Linked DNA regions of Sus scrofa. The protein of the gene in region 4 purifies or fractionates together with the protein of the main gene of each other region. This does not show direct contact. Links are inferred from orthologs where the notes say so. Each region holds a gene or a part of one and is shown on either strand. Other genes may lie near its edges. The genes, in order: LIMD1, MOB1A, ANAPC1, LATS2, SAV1 and AJUBA.

What was found.
Region 1: the proteins of LATS2 (region 4) and LIMD1 purify together in Homo sapiens (affinity purification with mass spectrometry; 3 studies listed by BioGRID and IntAct, with this or other methods). This does not show direct contact. The link is inferred for Sus scrofa from reciprocal best matches to the Homo sapiens genes LATS2 and LIMD1.
Region 2: the proteins of LATS2 (region 4) and MOB1A purify together in Homo sapiens (affinity purification with western blotting; 9 studies listed by BioGRID and IntAct, with this or other methods). This does not show direct contact. The link is inferred for Sus scrofa from reciprocal best matches to the Homo sapiens genes LATS2 and MOB1A.
Region 3: the proteins of LATS2 (region 4) and ANAPC1 purify together in Homo sapiens (affinity purification with mass spectrometry; 3 studies listed by BioGRID and IntAct, with this or other methods). This does not show direct contact. The link is inferred for Sus scrofa from reciprocal best matches to the Homo sapiens genes LATS2 and ANAPC1.
Region 5: the proteins of LATS2 (region 4) and SAV1 purify together in Homo sapiens (affinity purification with western blotting; 4 studies listed by BioGRID, with this or other methods). This does not show direct contact. The link is inferred for Sus scrofa from reciprocal best matches to the Homo sapiens genes LATS2 and SAV1.
Region 6: the proteins of LATS2 (region 4) and AJUBA purify together in Homo sapiens (affinity purification with western blotting; 3 studies listed by BioGRID and IntAct, with this or other methods). This does not show direct contact. The link is inferred for Sus scrofa from reciprocal best matches to the Homo sapiens genes LATS2 and AJUBA.

The regions. Positions count from the first base shown.
Region 1 is NC_010455.5:28,728,847-28,732,991, forward strand, and holds the start of LIMD1 (LIM domain-containing protein 1), read left to right. Parts: upstream 1-1,345; 5' UTR 1,346-2,162; coding exon 2,163-3,555; intron 3,556-4,145. UniProt on the Homo sapiens protein: Adapter or scaffold protein which participates in the assembly of numerous protein complexes and is involved in several cellular processes such as cell fate determination, cytoskeletal organization, repression of gene transcription, cell-cell adhesion, cell differentiation, proliferation and migration.
Region 2 is NC_010445.4:68,851,101-68,855,268, forward strand, and holds the start of MOB1A (MOB kinase activator 1A), read left to right. Parts: upstream 1-1,368; 5' UTR 1,369-1,638; coding exon 1,639-1,652; intron 1,653-4,168. UniProt on the Homo sapiens protein: Activator of LATS1/2 in the Hippo signaling pathway which plays a pivotal role in organ size control and tumor suppression by restricting proliferation and promoting apoptosis.
Region 3 is NC_010445.4:44,482,590-44,486,760, reverse strand, and holds the start of ANAPC1 (anaphase-promoting complex subunit 1), read right to left. Parts: upstream 2,801-4,171; 5' UTR 2,778-2,800; intron 1-2,777. Other genes in the region: MERTK (tyrosine-protein kinase Mer), read left to right, coding at 3,491-3,551. UniProt on the Homo sapiens protein: Component of the anaphase promoting complex/cyclosome (APC/C), a cell cycle-regulated E3 ubiquitin ligase that controls progression through mitosis and the G1 phase of the cell cycle.
Region 4 is NC_010453.5:1,231,471-1,234,970, reverse strand, and holds part of LATS2 (serine/threonine-protein kinase LATS2), read left to right. Parts: intron 1-398; coding exon 399-981; intron 982-2,340; coding exon 2,341-2,523; intron 2,524-3,500. UniProt on the Homo sapiens protein: Negative regulator of YAP1 in the Hippo signaling pathway that plays a pivotal role in organ size control and tumor suppression by restricting proliferation and promoting apoptosis.
Region 5 is NC_010443.5:180,427,959-180,431,458, forward strand, and holds part of SAV1 (protein salvador homolog 1), read right to left. Parts: coding exon 3,192-3,500; intron 1-3,191. UniProt on the Homo sapiens protein: Regulator of STK3/MST2 and STK4/MST1 in the Hippo signaling pathway which plays a pivotal role in organ size control and tumor suppression by restricting proliferation and promoting apoptosis.
Region 6 is NC_010449.5:76,069,509-76,073,008, forward strand, and holds the end of AJUBA (LIM domain-containing protein ajuba), read left to right. Parts: intron 1-64; coding exon 65-132; intron 133-250; coding exon 251-313; intron 314-1,033; coding exon 1,034-1,164; intron 1,165-1,248; coding exon 1,249-1,300; intron 1,301-2,295; coding exon 2,296-2,364; intron 2,365-2,810; coding exon 2,811-2,936; 3' UTR 2,937-3,376; downstream 3,377-3,500.

The DNA.
Region 1 (4,145 bases), on a different chromosome or scaffold from region 4:
GATCCTTAACCCCGTGAGCAAGGCCAGGGATCAAACCTGAGTCCTCATGGGAACTAGTTGGGTTGGTTAACCACTGAACCCCGACAGGAACTCCCAGATTCTGCATTTTTAACAAGCTCCCTGGTGATTCCAGTCTACTGGCCCCTGAACCAAGCTTTAGGTTTACAGAGTACAAAGCACTGTCAAGTGCATTCTGTTATTTGTTCCTTGTCACAACCCTGGCAGACAAATTCACTCATTCACTCATTCAACCATCAGATACTGGGTATACAGATATGGTCTAATGGAGGTGGAAAACCACCCAACCACCAAAAAACCCACATGTAAACAGCTAAACAAATAATTATGAATAGTCATCAGAAGTGATCAGGAAATAAAGAAGGTGGCGAAAAAGAAGGGCTCTAGGAGCAGGTGATTTTAGCAGAGATAGAAAGGATGAGCCAGTGGAAAAAATTCAAGGCAGGAAACTCCTGCAGTAGCACTCAGATGGGTAAGAGCCCCAAATCAGTCAGGAGGCAGGGGCCACTAGGGCCAGGAAGGCCTAGTACAGGTAGATTTCAACCCTAGTCCCGGGTAAGCACTGAGGGTGGGTAGGAGGGAAGTGACTGGTCTGATATTTGCCTTAGGATCACGCTGGCGGCTATTTGGGAAATAAAAACTTTCGGATCCTCTCTCAGGATCCCCTTGGAGGTGGTGCAGGGAGCGCTGGGCCAAGTGAGGGCACCCAGGATTCAGGCCCGACGCCCCCCAGAGCTGCGTGGGAGTCTACTGGGGAGGCGAGCGGGGGTCAGGAATCCCCTCGTGAATAACGAGCCACCACATCATGTGTTTTCACTGCCTCACTGAGGACCTCAGCTAGGCGCGCTCCGGGCCACGTCATGATTTATAACCCCCTTTCAGAGGACTTGGGCTCCCACTCAGGCTTTGCTAGTCACAGTGGCATCTTGGACACTTCCCCCTCTGTGCCTTAGTCTCACTACCTGTCGAAGGGCACCTTGGGCCAGCCCATGGCTGGCACTCCCGGGCGGAGGCGGCTCAAGGGGTTAGCTTCCCACCCGGGAAACTGAGGCACAGCTGGGCAAGAAGCGCGCGCCCACCAGACTTCCGCAGACCTTTTAACAAGCGGTGCGTCTCGGGGCCCCGCGAGCCTTCCAGGCCTCCCACCAGCGGTTTCCGCAAAGTGGTGCCAGATGATGGGACCCCGGCCTCGCAGAGGGGCGGCAGTGGCAGCTGGAAACCCCGCCATCCCCTTGACCGAGAGCGGGAAGGAGGGCTGCGGGACACACCTCCCGGCTCCCCAGCCTGGCAGGCGCGGGCCTGCCCCCCGGCGCCCGGAGCAACCAGCGCTGACCCCGCCCCTCGCCGGCGCCCCCGCCCCTCGGCCTCCTCCTCCGCCTCCGCCTCCTCGCAGGCCCGCGACGTGCCCGGCCGGCGACCGAGCGGCGGGGACGGCGTCCGGCGTACTCACTTCCGCGTCCCGCCGCCCTCCGGCCCGCGCGCGCCTAGCCACCGTCACCATCGGACAATAGGCCGCCAGCCCCGCTGCCGAGAACTTCCTGACGGGGCCCGGCCGGCCCGTGTGCCCCGGACCTCGATCCCTCTCCGCGTGGGCCAGGATTTCAGCCCCGCGCCACCTGGGGAAGCAGCGGAGGACCGAGCGCCCGGGACGTGCCCGCGCCTCCCGCCCGCCGCGTCTTTGCTCCTGCCTGGCTGGTTGGTGGCTTCTGCACTCTCCGCCTGAGCGGCTTTAGCCCGGCTCCGTCCAGCGGTTGCTGCCGTGTTGTGGGTTTCTGAGTTTGATTGCTTAAGGAGGATGTGATTTTTTTTTTTCCCCTCCCTATTTCTTTCTCCTTTTCTGATTTGAAACAGAGAAGAGAATCACAGCCAGCTTGGACAGGGAAGCGCCGCCAGCTGCCCCCACGTGGACACCAACGAGGGGAAAAGGAATTGGAAGCAAACTTGGTCCAAGTGGCTTTGAGGCCTCGGCATCGGCTGTACTCACAGGCCTGGGGTCATGACTCTCCTGCTGGGCAGGTGGAAGGCTTTACCTGTCTTGGGCTGGACTTGAGCCTCTTTTCTTTGCCAGCACCCCACCCCACCCCACCCTCCTCCACACTCTCCATACCCAGCACCTGGGCTAGGCCCAGACACTGGTCTGCAACATGGATAAGTACGACGACCTGGGCCTGGAGGCCAGTAAGTTCATTGAGGACCTGAACATGTATGAGGCCTCCAAGGATGGACTCTTCCGAGTGGACAAGGGTGCAGGCAACAACCCGGAGTTTGAGGAAACACGCAGGGTGTTTGCCACCAAGATGGCCAAAATCCACCTCCAGCAGCAGCAACAGCTCCTGCAGGAGGAGACCCTGCCCAGGGGGAGCCGAGGTCCTGTTAATGGCGGGGGCCGCCTGGGCGCACAGGCCTACCGGGAAGCTGGTGTGGGCAGCAAGCTGACTGCGGATGGTGCTGCCAAGCCCCCTCTCGCTGTCTCAACAGTGACTCCTGGGACAGCCGCCACCATCACGGCTGGGCAGCCCTTGTACCCACCCCAGGAGCAGAAGGCCAGGCCGCCTGTCCGTGGCGTGAGGCAAGGTAGCCAGGACTGTGGATCCAAGGAGAGCATGGCGAGTTCCGAGATGTCTGCTTTCCATCGGCAGGGCCCCTGTGAGGATCCTTCCTGCCTCACCCACGGAGACTATTATGACAACCTCTCCTTGGCAAGCCCCAAGTGGGGTGACGAACCAGGAGTGTCCCCCAGCATCAGGCTGAGTGTAGGAAGTGGGTGGTCTGGCACCCCAGGGAGCGAGCCAGCCCTGTCCAAACCCTCCAGGGATCATCTGTACCAGCAGCAGCTTTCCCCGAGCTCCAGCAGGTCATTGCAGAGCGGCCCTGATGGTGGTGTTGGTGGCCGCAGCAGTGAGAAGCCAGCAGGTCTTTGGACCACCGCCTCTTCCCAGCGAGTGAGCCCTGGCCTCCCTTCCCCAGGCCCAGAGAACGGAGCCCTACTGAGGGCTGCTCAGCCCAGGACCCCTTCTTTCTCTGCGTCCCTGGCCCCCAGCCGCCCCAGTCAAGGAGCTCTTCCAAGAACAAACTCGGGAGTGGCAAGTGACCTTTCAGGCATGATGCCCAAACCCACCGTGGACCCTCAACCCTGGTTCCAGGATGGGCCCAAATCTTACCTTTCTAGTTCTGCTCCATCATCCTCGACAGCCAGCATGGACAATATGCAGCTGGGTGCCGTCCCTGGGCTGGGTCCCAAGCCTGCCTGCACAGACCCTGGCGTGGGTCCTAAGCTCAGCCCCACCAGCCTTGTCCACCCAGTGATGTCCACCCTGCCTGAGTTATCTTGTAAAGAAGGTCCCCCTGGCTGGTCTCCTGATGGCAGCCTGGGGTCTGTGCTCCCAGAGAGCCCCAGTTCCCCCAGGGTGAGGCTGCCCTGCCAGACCCTCGTGCCGGGCCCTGAGCTTGGGCCCACGGCTGCCGAATTGAAATTAGAAGCCCTCACCCAACGTCTGGAACGTGAGATGGATGCTCATCCGAAGGCCGATTACTTTGGTGAGTGAGCGGCTGGTGAGGTTGCTCGTGGTGGGTGACAGGGACCCTGCGTTTGGGAGGAGGTGCTCCCCACCAGGGATTCTGTAGGTCTCCTTGGGTGGCCTGCCATTTTTCTTGTGGTGGGGGTGGAGGAGGCTTCCTCTTTCAGCTGTTTCTTGTGAAACTTGAAAAGAAACTTGAAAGCATCCCTAGGCAGAAAGCAGATCGTGCAGCTGCGGGTTACCCATGTGTGAAGGGCAGGATTGCTCATGACTGATCTCGAAGAGGGGGAAATGTGGTGACTTTGGATTTCACGGGTTTTGGGGGTGACTTCGAGCCTCTCATGGTGACTAGCTCAGGCAGGACTTGAATGGGCCTCTTAGGTCCAGGTACCCCTGCATTCCATCCTTTGTTGGCTAGGCCAGGCAGGGCTGGCTATTTGAGGAGCAGGGGTCGGGCAGGGGCCTCCGCAGCTGTGTGTGTGCGCGTGTGCACGCACCATGTGTCTGTCTACAGGTGCTGTGTGCAGCTGAGGGAGATGAAACACTGATGTGGAAGATTTTGTTCAAGAGTAGTAGTTCTTGAAAGTGTAGTCCAGACCAAAAGCATCC
Region 2 (4,168 bases), on a different chromosome or scaffold from region 4:
GAAGACTGATACTGGACCAGGACCCCTTTTTGGATGATCCTTTGGGGGCCTGAGGCAACTTAAAGGAAGAGAGAGATAAATTTGTTTCAAATAGCCAATAAGCACTTGAAAAGATTCTTAACATCAGCCAACAGGGAAATGCAAATCAAAATCTGGAGCTACCACTTCGCACCCACGAGAACGGCTATAATAAAAAAGATACACAGTAACAAATGTTATCAAGGATGTGGAAATAGCAAAACCCTCAGTTATTCGCCAGTGGAAGGTAAAATAGTGCATCCAATTTAGAAAACAATCTGGCAGTTCCCCCCAAAGATAAATACATAGTTAGTATATGACCCAGTCATTCCCAGGCACATACCCAAGAGAAAAGAACACATTCATCCACACAAAATCCCACAGAGGAATGTTCCTAATGGCCTTATTCCTAATAGCCCCAAGCTGGAAACAACCACAAAGTCCATCAACAGATGAATGGATAAACAAAATGTGGTATATTTATACAATGGAATAGTGCTCATAATAAAAAATGAATGAAGAACAGATACCTGCTACAACAAGGATGAATCTTTCTATTTTTTCTTTTTAGGGCCATACCTGCGACACATGGAAGTTCCCAGGCTAGGGTTGAATCAGAGCTGCAGCTGCCCACCGGACTAGGCCACAGCCACAGCAATGCAGGATCCAACCGGTATCTGCAACCTACACCGCAGCTTGTGGCAACCCCACATCTTTAACCCACCAAGCGAGTCCAGGGATGGAACTCTCATCCTCATGCACACCATGCTGGGTTCTGACCTGCGGAGCTAACACAGGATCTCCAACATGGATGAATCTTGATAACATGATCAGGTAAAAGAAACTAATCACGAAGATTGTGCACATATTGTACAATTCCACTTATTTGAAATATCCAGATTAGGCAAACTCATATAAAAAGGTAGACTAGATGTCGCCAAGGGATGGGAGTAGGGAGGAATGGTGAGCGACTGCTAATGGGTACCCGTTTCCTTTGGAAGTGATGGGAAAATGTTCTAGAAATAGGTAATTGTTACCGCTCTACAAGTCCGAATATGTGGGAAAACCACTGAAGCATATTTTTAAAAACGGCGAATTTTATGCTGTGTAAATTACATCTCAACTTAAAAAATCAAATTAACGTTAAGTAAAAAATTTCGCACACATAGCCATCTGACATCTAGATAACTGGGACAAAATAGAGCTGCTTCAACCTGGACCACGCACATCAGCATCGCAGGCAGAGGATTCCAAGTCCAGGGCAACTTGTTCAGCGGAAGTCCCGGCGTAAAGGTCCCTGATTGGCTCAGGTGGAGGAGCCGGCCCAAGGAAAAGGGGCGTGCCGAGTCCCTCTCGGTGGGGCGGGGCTGAACGAAGCTTTCGCTCGCGAGATTTTGCTGGTTCCGCATTTCGGGTCCGTAAAGTCGGGGAGGAAGGCGAGGCGGGTGCAGTAGTTCGCACCTGCTTGCAGCGGCTTGACCCCGGCTGCGAGCTGCAGCGTCGCGGGCATCCGCTGTCCGCCGGCTGAGGACCTTCGGATCCCCCTCAGTCCCGCGCGGACTCCGAATCCTGACCTCGGCGGGGGCGAGCGGCCCCTCCCCTCCGCTCTGAGGATAGAAGATGAGCTTCCTCTTGTGAGTGTGGCCCGGCCCAGGGCTTCAGGGTTGAGGGGGCTGAGGGCCGAGGTCGTGGAGGGGGCCAGTGGGAGCCTGAGGAGAGGGCGGGTCCCGGGGTCGGGGCTGGCGTACCCGGCTCTTGCTTTGCCACCGCTCGGGGTCGCAGGGAAGCCTGGTTGTGGTCAGAGGCAGACGGAGGTGAAGGTCGAGGCAGAGGAAGCGGAGCGAGAAAGTTGGGGAGTAGGAAGGCCCCGAGGCCGGCGGCGCCGCCGAAACTTTTCCGCCCGAGTGCGCCTGAGGGCAGAGGGATGATCTAGGGGCGGAGCCATGGGCCCCGCTTGGGGCTTCCAATTTTTCTCCGGTCTCCAGCCTTTTGGTAACGATCCATACAGATTTGGCTTTTTACTCTACTATACGTCCCCCTTTATTGTCATCAGTATTCGGTTACCCCCGCGGAAAATGTGGAGTGCCGCAGTTTGAGAAGCTGAAAGTTAAGCTGGCGGCCTTGTGTCCAAATTCTGATCCAGCCCACTTTGTGAATTTGTATAATTAGCTAACTGCGTTTTAACTCGGTAGACTCTTATTTTAGAGATAACGTCTGGGCGCAAGTGCGGCTTAAATGGGAAAGTGTAACTCTGATGATTCTTAAGCACATTTAGCTTTGAGAAGCATTGCTCTAGCACCTTACGTGTTATTCTCAGGGGGCTCTTATTATTTTGCTTTAACATGTCTTGTATGAGCAAATACATATCCATTTTTAGTTATGGGCATTACCCACGTACTTGGCATTTTTTCCAAGTTTTATTAAATTACATAGTGTTTCATAACTACAGTTTACCCCATTTATTGTGAGAAATTTGGATTCTTTCTAATACTTTGCAGTTATAAAATAGCACTACTAAGAGTATCTTTGTCTAAATCGCTTTTTCCCTCTTTGGATTTTTTTTAAAGTATGATCACCATATCAAAAAATCCGATTTATATTTTAAAGTTTCCTTATTACTAGACCGTTATCTACCCCCTCCTTCCGGTCTTTTTCTTCTTTTAATGTTTAGTTAATTGTTTGTGGATGCACAATTCTTATTTGCTTTTTGGACCTAAATGTGAGGCTGTTTATTTCTTTTAAACTTTGTTTTGTTGATGGACATTTGAATTTCCACTTTTTGGATATTCTGTACGCTGCTGTGAACTGCGTACAGATTTTTGTACTGGATGTATGTGCTTCTTTCTCTCAGATATATACCTAGGAATGGAATTGCCTGGTTGTATAGTTAACTATTTTTAACCCTTTGAGGAAGGGTGACACTTTTTCCAAGCACTGCACCATTTTGCTTTCCCATTAGCACTGTATGAGTTTCAATTTTCCCACACCTTCCCTAGCACTTGTTAATTACACTTTTGGTTATAGCCTTCCTAAGTGGATGTAAAGTGACATCTCATTGTGATTCATAATAACTAATGATGTTGAGCATCTTTTCATGTGCTTATTGGCCATTTGTGTATCTCCTTTGGAGGAATGTCTATTCAAATCCTTTGACGATTTTTTTAATCAGGTTGTCTTTTTAGGTTTTGAATTGTAAAAATTCTTTATCCTGAATATACAGGTCCCTTAGCACATCTATAATTTGCAGCATTCTTTCCTGTTTTGTGGATTCTTATCACTGTCTTGGTGGTGCCATTTGAAGCACGGAAGTCATCATTTCATACTAGTTTCCATATTTAGCTTCTGGTCATTCACAACTTCTCTTTCTATATGTAAAGCGCCATTCCATCTCCCTGTTAAATTTCACTCATTATCATGTTAAATACAAACTTTCCATATTTGATTTTTATTGTTTTCATAACTCCTTTTTACTCCATAATCAGTCTTATTTAAAATTCACATTACTCTAGTAAAGGGAAAGTCCTCAGTTCTATTCCTTTCCCTTTTCTAGAAGTACCAGTATCAGTTTGGTGGATGATATTTTCTCCACGTTTACAAAATGGGCTTCTGCTGTACATTTCTTTTTTTTTTTTAATTAATGAATTTTTTTCTGTGCTGTGTATTTCATTCTATAATATGTTTAACCATATTAAACATAATACTGTATGGTTTTCCAGGATGTAAATATGTCATAATTATTTATTCCTTTACTAGTAAACTTTAGTTTTTCATAATTAAAAACAATTTTGGAAAATATATCCTTACCCATATTAAGGAGAGATACCTAGAAGTGGAAGGGATGGAGTGAAGTGCACTTCCGTGTTAATATGCCATATTGGTCTCCTAAAGTATTACACACTTTGACGAATAGTGTATTAAAGTACTAATTTCTCTATACACTAGCCCACACTTAATGTAATTGTTATGACTTCTGACACTCAAGCTAAGGAAAAAATAAATTTTATTTTGATTGAACAGCTTTTCAGAAAAGCTGGTCCTTATGTTTTTCTTTGAATTGCGTATTCATTGCCTTAGCCCATTTTTCTAAAGAATTCCTTGCCTTTTTCTTAACAGATTATAAAAGCCCTTTATTGTTAATACTTTGTAATAT
Region 3 (4,171 bases), on a different chromosome or scaffold from region 4:
ACCTCTGCAATTTCAGTATGTTGTTCAGCAAACGGAATCTTTTATATCTACCACCTCCATTCTCCCAATAAACTATAACAACTACAAACATCTTCTTTCTGGAATGGTTTGGGGAAGAAAAATGGAGTCTTCTACATGTCCCATCTAAATTCCTCTAGAACTACAAAGGATTTAGACTACTAGGATTTTGTTCCAGAAGCTAAATGGAGTTGCTTGAAAGCATCACTTCAGTTCCCCATCAGATTACAAATTCTAGATCCCTGTGCTTCTGGTATGTTCTTTAGTAGTGGCTGAGTAGAGATTCCTATATCCACCATCCCAATCTCCTCCAATCTTCAACTGCTGGACACTTGTACTTTTATGCTGATTCAAGACTCTGCTAAGCAGCATCTCAGTGCTTCAGTGAATGCTGATGTCTAGATATTTGCACATCCCAGATGTTCAGCATGGCAAAAGGAATCCAGAAGTTGCAAGGGCTAGACACTGGTTCTTCCAGTTTGTCATTCACCTCTCCAAATGTAGTCTCTTACACTGTCTAATACCAGTCCTGTTGACTCTTAAACAACACAGATTTGAACTTTGAGGGTCCATTTACACTCAGATTTCTTTCTTTCTTTTTTCTTTTTGTCTTTTTAGGGCTGCACCTGCAGATATAGAAGTTACCAAGCTAGGGGTTGAATTGGAGCTGTAGCCACTGGCCTACACCACAGCCACAGCAATGCCAGATCTGAGCTGTGTCTGCAATTTATACTGCGGCTCATGGGAATGCCGGATCCTTAACCCACTGAGCGGGGCCAGGGATTGAACCCCCATACTCGTGGATACTAGTCGGGATAATTACCATTGAGCCACAATGGGAACTCTAGATTTTTTTCGATAAATATGACACCAGAGTTCTTTTGTGGTGCAGCAGGTTAAGGATCTGGTGTTGTCACTGCAGCAGCTTGGGTTCTACTGTGGCCTGGGTTTGATCCCTGGCCTGGGAAATTCCACATGCCATAGGCATGGCCATAAATAAGTAAATAAGTAAATATGGTACCTTATATAAATATGCATTTTTTTTTTTTTGGCCATGCTTGTGTCATGTAGAAGTTCCTGGGTCAGGGATTGAACCTGAGCCACAGCAGTGACCCAAGCTACAACAGTGATAACACTAGATCCTTAACATGCTGAGCCACCAGGGAACTCCCTATTTTTCAAGTTATGTTTTCACTTTTGATGTCTAATGTTAGTCATACGTGTACTATCTACAGTGTTTTGTATCATATAAGACTATTTAATATCAATATAGGTATTGACATGTTTTACATCTTTTAAACACGTGATATAAACTTATGGTATTGGTAAATACAGTACAGTACTATAAATGTATTTTTTCTTCCCTAATGCTTTCTTTTTTTTCCCTAAGGCCTTCTTTAAAACATGCTCTTTTCATCAGTTGTATCATTTTTTAAGATTCCACATATAAGTGGAATATGATATTTGTCTCTGACAGTTTCACTTAGTATGATCATCTCTAGGTCTATCCATCTTGCTTGCAAATGGCAATATTTCAATCTTTTTATGGCTGGTAATATACCATTGTGTATACATACTATATCTTCTTTATCTGTTCATCTCTTGATGGACACTTAGATTGCTACCATGTCTTGGCTATTGTGAATAGTGTTGCTCTGAACTTTGGGGTGCATGTATCTTCTCAATTAGAGTTTTCTCCAGATATATGCCCATGATAGGGATTGCTGGACCATATACTAATTCTGTTTTTAGTTTTTTAGGGAACCCCTATACTATTCTCCATAGTGGCTGCACCAATTACATCCCCACTAACAGTTGAGGACAGTTTCCTTTTTTCCACACCCTCTCTAGCATTTAGTATCTTAGACTTTTTGATAATGGCCGTTCTGACTGGTGTGAGGCGATACCTCATTGTAGTTTTGATTTGCATTTCTCTCATAATTAGTGATGTTGGGCATCTTTTCATATCCTGACTGTCTGTCATCTGTCACATCCCCGACTTGAGGAAAACTGCTACAAGGCTGTTTTCTTCCCTCTCCATATTTTCAGTTGAGCATAGGACTTTCTGCTGCCTTCCCTCCAGGTTTCCTCCTGCCCCCAAGCACAGCAGCAGGCTCCTGGGTACGTATGTGAAACTGCTCTGCTGTACTTTAGAATTAGCTTCTTAGCAGCAGATCCCCTCACTGTTCACATCTGTTCATCTGGCCCCTTGAGATCCGTGTCACCCTGAGAGACTAGGGATGCCAGGTGATGTCACCATGCTGATGTTACTTTTGCTGTCAGTGTAATAACCAATCTAAATCCATTTGGGCTTGTTGTCTCCTTACAGCCAAATATACCCCAAGTGACCACCAGCCTAGGAGTCAGGGACTGCTGGATCAGAAAGCAGCGTAAATGGAAATGGAGTAAGGAGATGATGTCAGAGAGGAAAGAGGACCACGTCTTCTAAGACCTTGTCAGCCACAGGCAGGACTTTGACTCTTTTGCAGGGAGAAAGCAGGAACCACCAGTGGAGTTGTGATTAGAGGAATGCCAAGATTTAGCTCACGTTGTCAAAGGATCACATTAAAATACATTAACTCTAGCGGCTGCCCCCTTGGCCCCTACACACTTTATCACTGCGGGGCTATCTCTTTCCGCTAGTGTTCTGCACTTTTTCCTTGACGATCTTCCATGACCATCACGTCTTTGACAAGGGGACACAGTGGTTCTTCCCCCGGGGGGAGGAGAGTTCCTAAAGGCCAGGGCTGGTCTCTCACCTTTGGCCCGATACCCGAGGCGGTGTAGGCGGGGAGCGCTCGGCCGGGAGCCGGTGGATGCGGCGCTCAGAAAGATCGCCTACCACTGTGGCCTTGTCCTCTGGGAGAGCTGCTGCTGCCTGAGTTTTCTGGGTCCACTAAGCCTGGATTGCGGGGTCGCCGCTGCCCGGGAGCCGCTGGCCCCTCCTCTTAGGTCTGGTGGCTGCCTCGGGCGTCTTCTACTCCTCTGGAACTTTATCTCCTCCCTCTGTCCCTCCCACCTGCACGTGTTGGACGCCGGGACCGCCCAGAGGCCTGGGCCGGGTTCTCCTCTCCACCTCCGGTCGCCCCTCCCCTTTACGGCCCCCACCTCCTCCCCTCTCTCCTGTCCCCTCGCCCCCACCCCACATCCAGGTCCGCCCAGACCAGCCCCTCCCCGCCCCTCTAGTCCAGCCTTGTCCCCTTACTCCTCCTCCTCGGCCCTCCTCTCCCCCCCGCCTTCCCGCCCGCTTCCCAACCCAACTGGCTAGGGTCCGCTCGGACTCGGCCCCCGGCCCGCCCCCTCCAGCCCTCAGCGCCTCCCGCCGCTGCTCGGCTTCGCCACTTCGGGGTTGGAGCTGCCCGGGCCGCCGGTACTGGGCCGCTTCTCTGGCGCGCTTGGCGGACGACGCGGCGTGTTCCAGACGTCTGTCTCTCCGTCGGTCCAGAGAGAATTTCCAGATCCGCGCCCCAGGATGGGACGGGCTCTGCTGCTGCTCTTGCGGTGGCTCCTCCTCCCCGCGCTCTGGAGGGGAGGTGAGTGCCCGGGGCCAGGGGCCCGGCGCTGGGGGCTGGGGGCTCGCGGCCGGGAGCTGGGAGGTGGGAGCGCACCGACCTGGGCGCACCCGGCTGCAAGAAAGTTTGCAAACATCTCCCCGCGCCCCAGCGGTGCCAGGCGCTGGCGCGCAGGAGTTTCTAGCAACCCACTGTCCCCGCACCCAGGCTGGGTCGTGGGCGCGCGTCCCGGTGGAGTCGGGAAGGGGTGGGTACCGAGGGCTCCCCTTAACCGCCCAGGGGGAAATCGAGCTTGACTGGAAGCGCTGCAAGCCCAAAAGTTTTGCGCGGAGAGGAACGCTGGTCGCAGGTCTGGCGCGGAATGCGCCAGAAACTTTGCCCTGGACTTGGTTGCGCGGTTGGACCCTGGCTGTGGCGGGAGTTCTGGGAGCGGCAGACCCCATCTCCAGGGGGACCCGCGCCCGGAGACCAGCAGACTGTGGGAGTTGGGGTCGCAGTCCCGGTGCTGATCCACCCAGGCTGGGGTGCGACCGAAAGGGACTGCGGACCCGGCTGCTCCGCTTGAGCCCTTATGGACAACATTAGCAAGGACACCCTGTGAGCGTGGCGGCCCCGGAAAGGGGGGAAACATTCTTTTCACC
Region 4 (3,500 bases):
ACACAGGTGAGAACTTAAAATTGGGGAAGTAAAATGTATGCTCTTCCTGCTGTCCTATTTTCACTGGCTTTTTTCTTGTTGTTTTACCATCTTTCCCTGAGCCGTTCAGTTATCCGTTGCTCTTAGAGTTCCAGGAACGTCATTAACAGAAGTTACATTTAGCTGTGCACCCAGTGACCTTTACCTAAAGTCACCAGAACAAGCGCTCCCTAGGGTGTCTCCCTCCGCCTCCACGCTGTGGCTCTGCGTGGCCGGCAGGAGCGAGACGTGGTTGGTTGGCTCTGGTGCTCGGCCCTTCCGTCGCTTCCCTCCTTCCACGGGCTGGAGGGGGGTCCTGCCCCTTCCGGGGCCCCGTCCCCGCCGTGTCCTCCGGGGTGACCCTGTCTCCTTCTGCACAGGCCGGCCTCTGCGAGGCCGAGCAGGAGCAGATGCGGAAGATCCTCTACCAGAAGGAGTCCAACTACAACCGGCTCAAGAGGGCCAGGATGGACAAGTCCATGTTCGTGAAAATCAAGACGCTGGGCGTGGGCGCCTTCGGGGAGGTGTGCCTGGCCTGCAAGGTGGACACGCACGCCCTGTACGCCATGAAGACCCTCAGGAAGAAGGACGTGCTCAGCCGCAACCAGGTGGCCCACGTCAAGGCCGAGAGGGACATCCTGGCGGAGGCGGACAACGAGTGGGTGGTGAAGCTCTACTACTCCTTCCAGGACAAGGACAGCCTGTACTTCGTCATGGACTACATCCCGGGCGGGGACATGATGAGCCTGCTGATCCGCATGGAGGTCTTCCCGGAGCCCCTGGCCCGCTTCTACATCGCCGAGCTGACGCTGGCCATCGAGAGTGTCCACAGGATGGGCTTCATCCACCGCGACATCAAGCCGGACAACATCCTGATCGACCTGGACGGGCACATCAAGCTGACCGACTTCGGCCTCTGCACGGGCTTCAGGTGGACTCACAATTCCAAATACTACCAGAAAGGTACAGCCCGGGCCAGCGCCACCCCCCCCCGCCCCCCGCCCGTGCTTTTCCGCTGCTGCGACACCCTCTTCTCCCTGGAAAGGCAGCCCGACTGGAGGTTGCCGTGTTACGTTAGTGGCCTCAAGTCTTACGGGGATGTTGTTAGGACGGCAGGCCATGGGGTGTCTTTGGGCTTTGCGCAGGAAGCGTCTCTCTGCCTGTTAAAACAAGCCTTCAAAAATAAGCCTCATGGCCTCCCAAGGAGCTCTCGCTCTCGGCCAGCCTTGGCCTGCTGCAGGTGTAGACCGCGCTGTGCACCCAGTGACCTTTACCTCTGGCAGCTCTGCTGTTTGGAAACGTCAGAAACAGCTGGTTGTTGTCTTAGTTATGGTATGAGTTGTTGTTGTTTTTGTTTTTTGTCTTTTTAGGGCCACACCTGTGGCACATGGAGGGTCCCAGGCCAGGGGTCGAATCAGAGCTGTAGCCACTGGCCTACACCACAGCTCATGGCAACGCCAGATCCTTAACCCACAGAGCGAGGCCAGGGATTGAACCAATATCCTCATGGATACTAGTAAGATTCATATCCACTGAGCCATGATGGCAACTCTTATTTATGGTATGAATTTTTGAAATAGTTATTTTAATGCTATAGCTCAGGCTTCCATTTTTTAACTCAAAATTAATCCTAAATCATTTAATTCATGCTTGTCTTTTGGCACTGGACTCATTTATGTTCATGTTTCCCTTTTTTTAGTTTTTTTTTTTTTTTTTTTTTTTTTTCTTTGCTTTTTAGGGCTGCACTTGCTGCGTATGGAGGTAGGTTCCCAGGCTAGGGGTTCAATCGGAGCTACAGCCACAGCAACGCCAGATCTGAGCTGCATCTGCGACCTACACCCCAGCTCACGGCAACGCCAGATCCCCAACCCACTGAGCGAGGCCAGCGATCGAACCCACAACCCTATGGTTCCCAGTCAGATTCTTTTCTGCTGCACCACAATGGGAGCTCCAATGTTCGTATTTTCTTAATCTTTTCCTGGTTTTCCGTGCCTGTCGTAAAACGTAGCCTCAGAGGTGGGCCTGAGCATGCTGGGAACGCCATCCCCCAGTCACAGCACCTTTGTCGCCAGCCTCGAACAGCGCCCCATGCAGGCCGCCCGGCGCCGGGCGCAGCCCCTGCCGCCACCGCCCACGGCTTGGATCTGAGGCCCGGAACCACAGCCGCCCCGCGGAGCTGGCGGGAGGACTCCTTCTCTCGCTGTGTCGGGCGCTGCCTTGGAAAACTTTGACCTTTGAAACTGGGGGTCTCTTGCGTGTTGAAGAGCGAAGGTTCACCTTGCTTTTCCTCCTCTTTCCCCCGCCCTGCGCCCCGGGTCACAGGGAGCCACACCCGGCAGGACAGCATGGAGCCCAGCGACCTCTGGGACGACGTGTCCAACTGTCGGTGTGGGGACCGGCTCAAGACCCTGGAGCAGAGGGCCCGGAGGCAGCACCAGCGGTGTCTGGCGCACTCCCTGGTGGGGACCCCGAATTACATCGCCCCGGAAGTGCTCCTCCGGAAAGGTGCGTGTGTGCCCCCGGCTCCAGTGCTCAGCCTGAGTCGCCCTCCGGGTTCCTGCGGGGCTGAGAGTGTGTTCTCAGCATGTGGCCCTGGTGTGTGGCCCTGAGGGTGGGGCTGCCCTTTGCCCCCAAGCCCAGAGGAGCCGCCCCAGAGCTGGTGTGGACAGAGTGCGTGCCAGGGGCACCAGGGTCCCAGGCTCCGGCTGGGAGGCACTGCCTTCCCTGGTCAGCGTGGGCGAGGGTCACTTCCTCCGATGCCTCCCCAAGCGCCTGGAAGGTGGCAGGATGTGGGGACCCTGTGCCCCGCCTGGCCGGGCGCAGGAGGAAGCTGATCGTTGGTCATGTGCTATCAGCGGCTGCATTTGTGGGTTTGATTCCGGGGGATGCACTCAGGGAGCTGTGACCCAGGTCACTGGAGCCAGCCGACAGGGCCCCCACCTGTGTCCCCTGGTAGCTGCCCGCCTGCCAGCCTCACTGTAACTGCGGCTGCCTTGAGAGGCTGTGGGGAGTGTTCACCTCGCTGCCCAGGAAAGGTGGGAGGCGGGAGGTGCTGGCCCTCAGGCGGCCACCCTGTCCCCCCAGCCCTCGGCGCAGCCCAGAGGAGTCCCCTGGGCAGGGACTGCAGTGCACCTTTGGCAAGAATTTGGGCACGGCAAGGTTGGAGCGGGGCTTGTGTTGGGACATGGGACAAAATCAGAGGAAGACCAGCCTGCCCCAAGGCCTTCCAGAGGCTGCCCTGGCTGAGTCCCGGGCGTGGGAGCTCCGCGGGGTCCCCTCCTTGCTCCCACCCCACCTGCCGGGGGCGCCGCCGAGGTCCCGAGACCTCCCCGGGAAGCGCTCGGCACCGCCCCGACCGGGTCACAGAATTGCCGCTTCGTTCCTCGTGTGTACTTCGTGTTTGGTTCTTCAAGAACTTGGACTTCTGGTCGGTATTGTTACCAACAGTAACAGTAGTCTTTTTAAATTAGTCTGTCGCCATG
Region 5 (3,500 bases), on a different chromosome or scaffold from region 4:
GTAGGCCAGCGACTACAGCTTCGATTGGACCCCTAGCCTGGGAACTTCCATATGCCCCCGGTTCAGCCCTAGAAAAGGCAAAAAGACAAAAAATAAAACATGATTGGAGAAAGTTATTTTTTTAAAGTCTGTCATTAGGAGTTCTTGCTGGGTTAAGGATCTGACTGCAATGGCTTGGGATGCCATGGAAGCTCAAGTTTGATCCTTGGCCTGGTGCAGCGGGTTAAGAATCCAGTGTTGCCAGAGCTGAGAAGAAATAAGTCACAGCTGTGGCTCAGATTAAATCCTTGGCCCGGTGGATTCCATATGGCACAGGTATGGCAAAAATAAAATAAAATAAAATAAAGTATGTTATTTAAATTATAAAAGCTATGTCAGGAATTTCCGTTGTGGCTCAGCAATAACGAACCCAACTAGTATCCATGAGGATGCAGGTTCCGTCCCTGGCCTTGATCAGTAGGTTAAGGATCAAGCCTCAGCTGTGGTTGTGGTGTAGACCTGTAGCCTGGGAACTTCTATATGCTATGGATATGGCCCTAAAAAGACAAAAACACAAAAACTACGTCAAACTGCATAAGCAGGGTTCTAAGAGAGGATCAGTAGAAATTTAGTTTTTACAATATTTCCTCAATGATATTTTGTGAATCAGGATTTTTTTTTTTTTTTTGCCTTTTTCTTATGGCCGTACCCGTGGTATATGGAGGTTTCCAGGCTAGGGGTCCAATTGGAGCCGTAGCTGCCGGCCTACACCACAGCCACAGCCACGCAGGATCCGAGGCATGTCTTCAAGCTACACCACAGCTCATGGCAACGCCGGATCCTTAACCCACTGAGAGAGGCCAGGGATCGAATAGTTGTCTTCATGAATGCTAGTCGGATTCATTAACTGCTGAGCCACAACGGGAACTACAACGAATCAGGATTTTAACACAAGATTTTATCTTGGTGTCATTAAATCTGCATACTTCAGGTATAAAAGTGTCATAAGCTATCAGTGATGTTTGGAATATAAACAATCGGTATTAATGGCAAACACTGTTATAAGCTATTATTCCCGATACTCTTCAGCTACCAAAATTGTCTTAAGACTCCAAACTTGAAATCTGTGGATCCATTCACTTACTCAACCATTTGTTTTTAGAGTACCTCCTATATAGCCAGGTGCTTTGGTAATCCTATCTGACTCTTCTCTTTCTCTCATCCCTCAATCCCCATTAGTGGTCAAGGCCCATTAATGCAGATGTGTCTCACTTCCCCCCTTTCCAAACATCCCCAGCCTGATAGGTCATTTAAAATATTACCCATCAAATGTGTACTGAATGGAAGATCACTGAAAGTACTTATAAATAGTGTATAACAGTAAGAAACTCATTCATATAAAAAGGCAGGGATATGAAAATGGACAAACTATAATCACAGTTTTAAAAAGAATGCCATGGAAAAAGATGAAAGAAATAACTAAATACATCTTGTTAAAATATATAAAAATGAACTTGTGTGTGTGTGTGTGTGTGTGTGTCTTTTTGCCTTTTCTAGGGCTGCTCTCGAGGCATATGGCGGTTCCCAGGCTAGGGGTTGAATCGGAGCTGTAGCTGCCAGCCTACGCCACAGCATTGCAGGATCTGAGCCGTGTCTGCAACCTACACCACAGCTCACAGCAACACCGGATCCTCAACCCACTGAGCAAGGCCAGGGATCAAACCGGCAACCTCATGGTTCCTAGTCGGATTCATTAACCACTGAGCCACAAGGGGAACCCCCAAAATGAACTTTATTTTTAAAACTTACTATTCTGATTAGAAAACAAATTATTTCAGTTTAAAAATACATGATTACTAGAAACAGCCAAAATACACAATAAAGTATCCAACTATCTAATCCTTTAACCTAGAAGTTCTTTAAAAACAAAAAAGACACGCACCTATTCTCATGACAGTACTTCTATATGCCTCTAGACATTTTATGTTATGTATTCATAGACTTCTAGATGAATCTCTTCTCTTCAATGTCCCAATGAGACTTGAATGTCAGCTTTCACAAAATAAGCTACTCTTGCCAACTACTCCATACTTTTAATTTTCAAAACTTCAGTGATTTACTTTCTCCCAAACCCATAATTAGGTCTCATTTTTCCTTCAAAAGTATCATAGATTTGCACTTTCCTCTCCACTGCAGTCCTCTTTTCTCTAGCAATCTATCTTAACTGGTAAGCTAATCTTGAAATAGTCCTTTCATAAAATGAACATCTTGTCCTTTTGAAATCTTCAATGGCCTCTGCTTGACTCAAATTTAAATCCTGCAAGCTCTTGCTGCACCACTAATCTCCATTTCACCTTACAACTTATTTCTCCAAACTATGCAGAAGTGCACAACTCCTTGGATTTATATCATCTCTGCTCTTTTCACTGGCCTAATCCTAATTTTCTAACTAAAATGTTCTTCCCATGTCCCCTGTCATTCTAAAGTCTAAGCTAAAAGCAAAAGCAAAGTTCAGGACCAACCTCTTCCACAAACCATTCTCCAAGTATTCTAGCCTACCCCGATCTCTTTCTCTTCTGACTCTTTACTGCACTTAACAGTCAATACCACAAAGTTTAATGACTACCTGTTTTTTGATCATCTTGAATATATTAGTTTCATCCTCCCAAATAGGTCCCAGAAGGCAGATACTACCAAGAGGGTCGGGGAAAATGCTAGACACATAAATGACTACTACGAAAACAGTTCTGTTAAAAGAAACAGTGCCAGTTCTAGCTAAGTAATGATGTAGTTGCCCATGGTGTCACCCATCATGCCCAATTCTTCCTATTTGCCTTTCTTTTCCCAGGTTGAGGTCCAGTTTCTCTGAAATCCTAACCTTCCCATTTTACCAAATCTAAACCTAGACGCAGTCCAACTATAGACATTAAAATCTCTAGGTTTTCCAGCTTCGAAATGTTAACAGTCTACATAGCCTTTAGCTACGTACCAAGCTTTTATAAAATAAGGTAATTAAATGGCTTAATAGACATGAAATTCCTTCCCTCAGTTCAGATTAATAATTATTTGCAAACTGACTTAGCAAATTGGCAAAATGTAGAAGTAGTTCTTTAGGAGTATCTGTTGCCTTCCCAAGAAAATCCAGAAAAGAACATTTTTTTAATGAGGTGTTAATAAATCAAACTCACGTAGTATTTATAATTTTAAGTTACCTGAAGCATGCCTCCCCTGATTTTGTGGCACTCTTTGGAAGAGATCGTGGTTGTAGTCATAATATCTATAGTCTTCATGTGTGCGATCTCCAAGCTGGCGCCTCCTCTGACCATCAAAATAATTATCGGAATAATAATATCGGGAACCAGAGTCTCCATTTTCAACAGCAAAATTAACTTCTGTTAAAAATGACTGAGAAGAGCCATATTCCCTAGGGACATCTGCTAGACTCCTGGCAAGATAAGAAGGTGCAGATAATCTGTTGCTTTCTCTTCTCATTATTTCATGAGGTGTTCTTTGAATTGGAG
Region 6 (3,500 bases), on a different chromosome or scaffold from region 4:
TTGTGCGGGACACCCCGTGCCTGGACCCTGGGAGAGGCTCCAGCCCCTTCTCTACTGCTTCTAGGGCGAACTTTGCGATGCAAGGCTTTCTACAGTGTCAACGGCTCGGTGTACTGTGAGGAAGATTATCTGGTGAGTGAGTGGTCCCTGGTCCTGGAATTGGCTTCCGCCCCCTTCTTGGTGGTCCTCTGGGGTTCTACCCATCAGGTCATTCTCAGCCTGTTAACATCCTCTCTTGATCTCCTCCTAGTTTTCAGGGTTTCAGGAGGCAGCTGAGAAATGCTGTGTCTGTGGTCACTTGATTTTGGAGAAGGTAAGAAAAGCATCTTCAGCTGAGACTGCGAGGCTCAGGGGCCAAGGGGAGAATCAGGAGCTAAATGGATACTGAGAAAAGGCTGGGGGAGGAAACCTCCCAGCAATCACTTGCATCCATTCCTCTCAGAACAGCTGTTCATGGTGGCTTCTTTCTGCCTGTGGGATCAGGTCTGGACTCCTCAGCCTGCCGCCCCCAGGCTTCTATGATCCGGCTCCTCCCTAACTCTGCAGCCATAGCCAGGTCGAGTGCCTAAGCTAGGAGTATGGGGTCCTGGGTCTTAATCCCCTTCCTGTTACTGACTGGGATCAGCTGGAACTCAGTTATCTGTTCTCTAAGGAGGGACTGGGTTGGCGTGGTGCTTCACAGCTCTGGCAGCCTAGCAGATCACCTGGGAAGAAGTAAAGAAAAATACCAACACTGGGCATTACCAGAGACTGTGCTGAATACTTCTGGGTGGGACCCAAGCATTGATGGGCTTAAAACCTCCCTGGGTGACCCTGATATGCTGCCAGGGCTGAGAAACACTGGCCTGGATGCTCTCCAAGACCTTTTTCAGGGCTTCTGCCTCCATTTGAAGACCCTTGGTCCTCCCAGATTACATAGCAGTGTTCTGGGAGGAGAGCAGCGGCTCTGATGGGGTTGGCAAGAACAGCAGGGAACGTCATTGGTAGCCGGTAGCCAGAGAGTGGAGACTGATTCTGCTTCCCCCTGGGCCAGATCCTCCAGGCAATGGGAAAGTCCTACCACCCAGGCTGCTTCCGATGCGTTGTTTGCAACAAGTGCCTGGACGGCATCCCCTTCACCGTGGACTTCTCCAACCAGGTGTACTGTGTCACCGACTACCACAAGTGAGTCCACCCCTTGGGGTGTGGTGTGGAACTGGGCTCAGGGATTTCCCCCTCCTCAGCTCATCTCCATCCTCTCTCTTTCAGAAATTATGCTCCTAAGTGTGCAGCCTGTGGCCAACCCATCCTCCCCTCAGAGGTCAGTATGTCTGGGTCCTCCCGCAGGGCAGCCAGTGCTGCGGCCGCTGGGGAGGGGCTGGGGACATGCTGCCTGGCCTCCCATGGGAGGCAGTGGTGCTGAGGAATGTATTCTGAGAAGATTCCCGTGTGACTCTGCTCTAGGGGTCACCACCCTGACCCCAACATCCGGGCCTGGACTTGTCTGACAGCCTCACTGGGCCCAGCCTCCATCTTTTTGCTCCCAGGCCAGAGAAATAGACTTTCTTTGAGGTCAAGGTCACCAGCTCCCAGATTAGGGGCTAGAAAAAGGTGGAGAAAATCCTCAGGGCCGGTAGGAGGGGGTCAGAAGTGATTTCTGCCGTGTGTGCCAAAAGTGAGCCTAGGGAGCCAAGCCAAAAGCCCATGAGGAACCAGACCCTGTTGAGCTTCCCCGCCCCCGTCTTAGCCTGCTTATGCGGCCTGCCCCTTCCTTCCGCTTTACTTCCCCCACAAATGGGAGAGGTAGGTAAGGCCCGAGCCCCTGGACAGAGGGAAGGCTCTGTGAGGGGACAGGCCCTCTTGGAGGCAGCACCAAGGAAGGAGAGGTGGAACGTTCGGTAGGGTTTGCAAAGGTCGTCAAAGCTACAGATGATGGAATTCCTGTTGTGGCACAGCTGAAATGAATTGGACTAAGAACCATGAGGTTGTGGGCTTGATCCCTGGCCTTGCTCAGTGGATTAAGGATCCAGCTTTGCCGTGAGCTGTGGTGTAGGTTGCAGACGTGGCTTGGATCCCATGTTGCTGCGGCGGTGGTGTAGGCCAGCAGCTATAGCTCCGATTAGACCCCTAGCCTGGGAACCTCCATATGCTTTGGGTGTGGCCCTAAAAAAAAAAAAAAAAAGAAAAAAAAGCTACAGACGATGGCAGAGAGGTTCCGGAGGCCTCTGTGTGATCTCCCCATTTGGGTGGGGGCGGTGGTGGTGGGGAGTTCTGGTCATGCTGCTCCTGTGCCCATGGGCGTGTGCGTTATTTCAGGGCTGTGAGGACATTGTGAGGGTGATATCCATGGACCGAGATTACCACTTTGAGTGCTACCACTGTGAGGTGAGTGTTGGGGGCCCCAGGCTCCCAGAGGAGAGTTGGAATGGGGTTAGGGGAGTGGAGTCTGTAGGAGAGACACAGGGCCCAGGAAACCAGGAAGGTGCTCTGACCCATCGCCAGCCTCTTCCTCATCTGTCCTTCAGCCACTGTCTCTGGGCCTGGTTGTTTAGTCCTTTCTAAATCTGGCTTCTCCAGAGTCAAGACTTCTAAAACTAGGGACTTTCCTGGTAGCAGCTGGAAGTGGGAGCCCATCTCATTATTTCTGCTGTAGCAGCGACACCTGGTGTCCAGCTGAGGTATTTTCTCGGGTTTCTCTTCTGGGAGTCCATCCCCTCCCACACCCTCACCCCCCTTCTTCTAGTCGTTAGGAGTCTGGTGTTAAGCAGGGCAGACTCCCAAGATGTCCCCGGTGCCTGGGCTGAGGTGAACCAGGCGTCCTTCTTCCCTAGGACTGCCGGATGCAGCTGAGTGATGAGGAAGGCTGCTGCTGCTTCCCTCTGGATGGGCACTTGCTCTGCCACGGCTGTCACATGCAGCGGCTCAATGCCAGACAGCCCTCTGCCAACTACATCTGAGATGCAGTCACCGCTGCCGCCACCACCACCACCGCTGACAAATTCCTCTGGCCAGTGGGCCCCTCTGAGGCCAGGTGGGGCAAGCAGTGCACTCTGCAGGCCTGGCAGAAGAGTCCTCCAGGGAGGGCCCCAAGGGCCAGCGACCCAAAGATCAAGACATTCCAAATGGATTGTGGAGGAGGAGCCCTCCAGTTGCTAGAGTGACTGGCCTTTTTTCCACGTGTGCAGCCTGTGCCGTAACATATAATTCAGGCACACACACAGCCGGGTTCCAGTACCTTCTAAAGGAGTTCTCTTGTGGCACAGTGGAGTAAGGATCCGGCATCATCGCGGCAGCAGCTTAGGTTGCTGCTGTGGCACGGGTACGATCCCTGGCCCAGAAACTTCCATATGCTGCGGGTGCGGCCAAAAAAAATAAATAAAAATTTTTTTAAAAAGGGCCTGATGCTAGTCTGTATCTCCAGTATACATTTGTGTATGAGTCAGTGTTTGGATTCTGGTTTATAGGAAGAGAGGACAGCATGGGAGCTCCTTTTTGTATTTTTAGGGTCACAACTGCAGGAT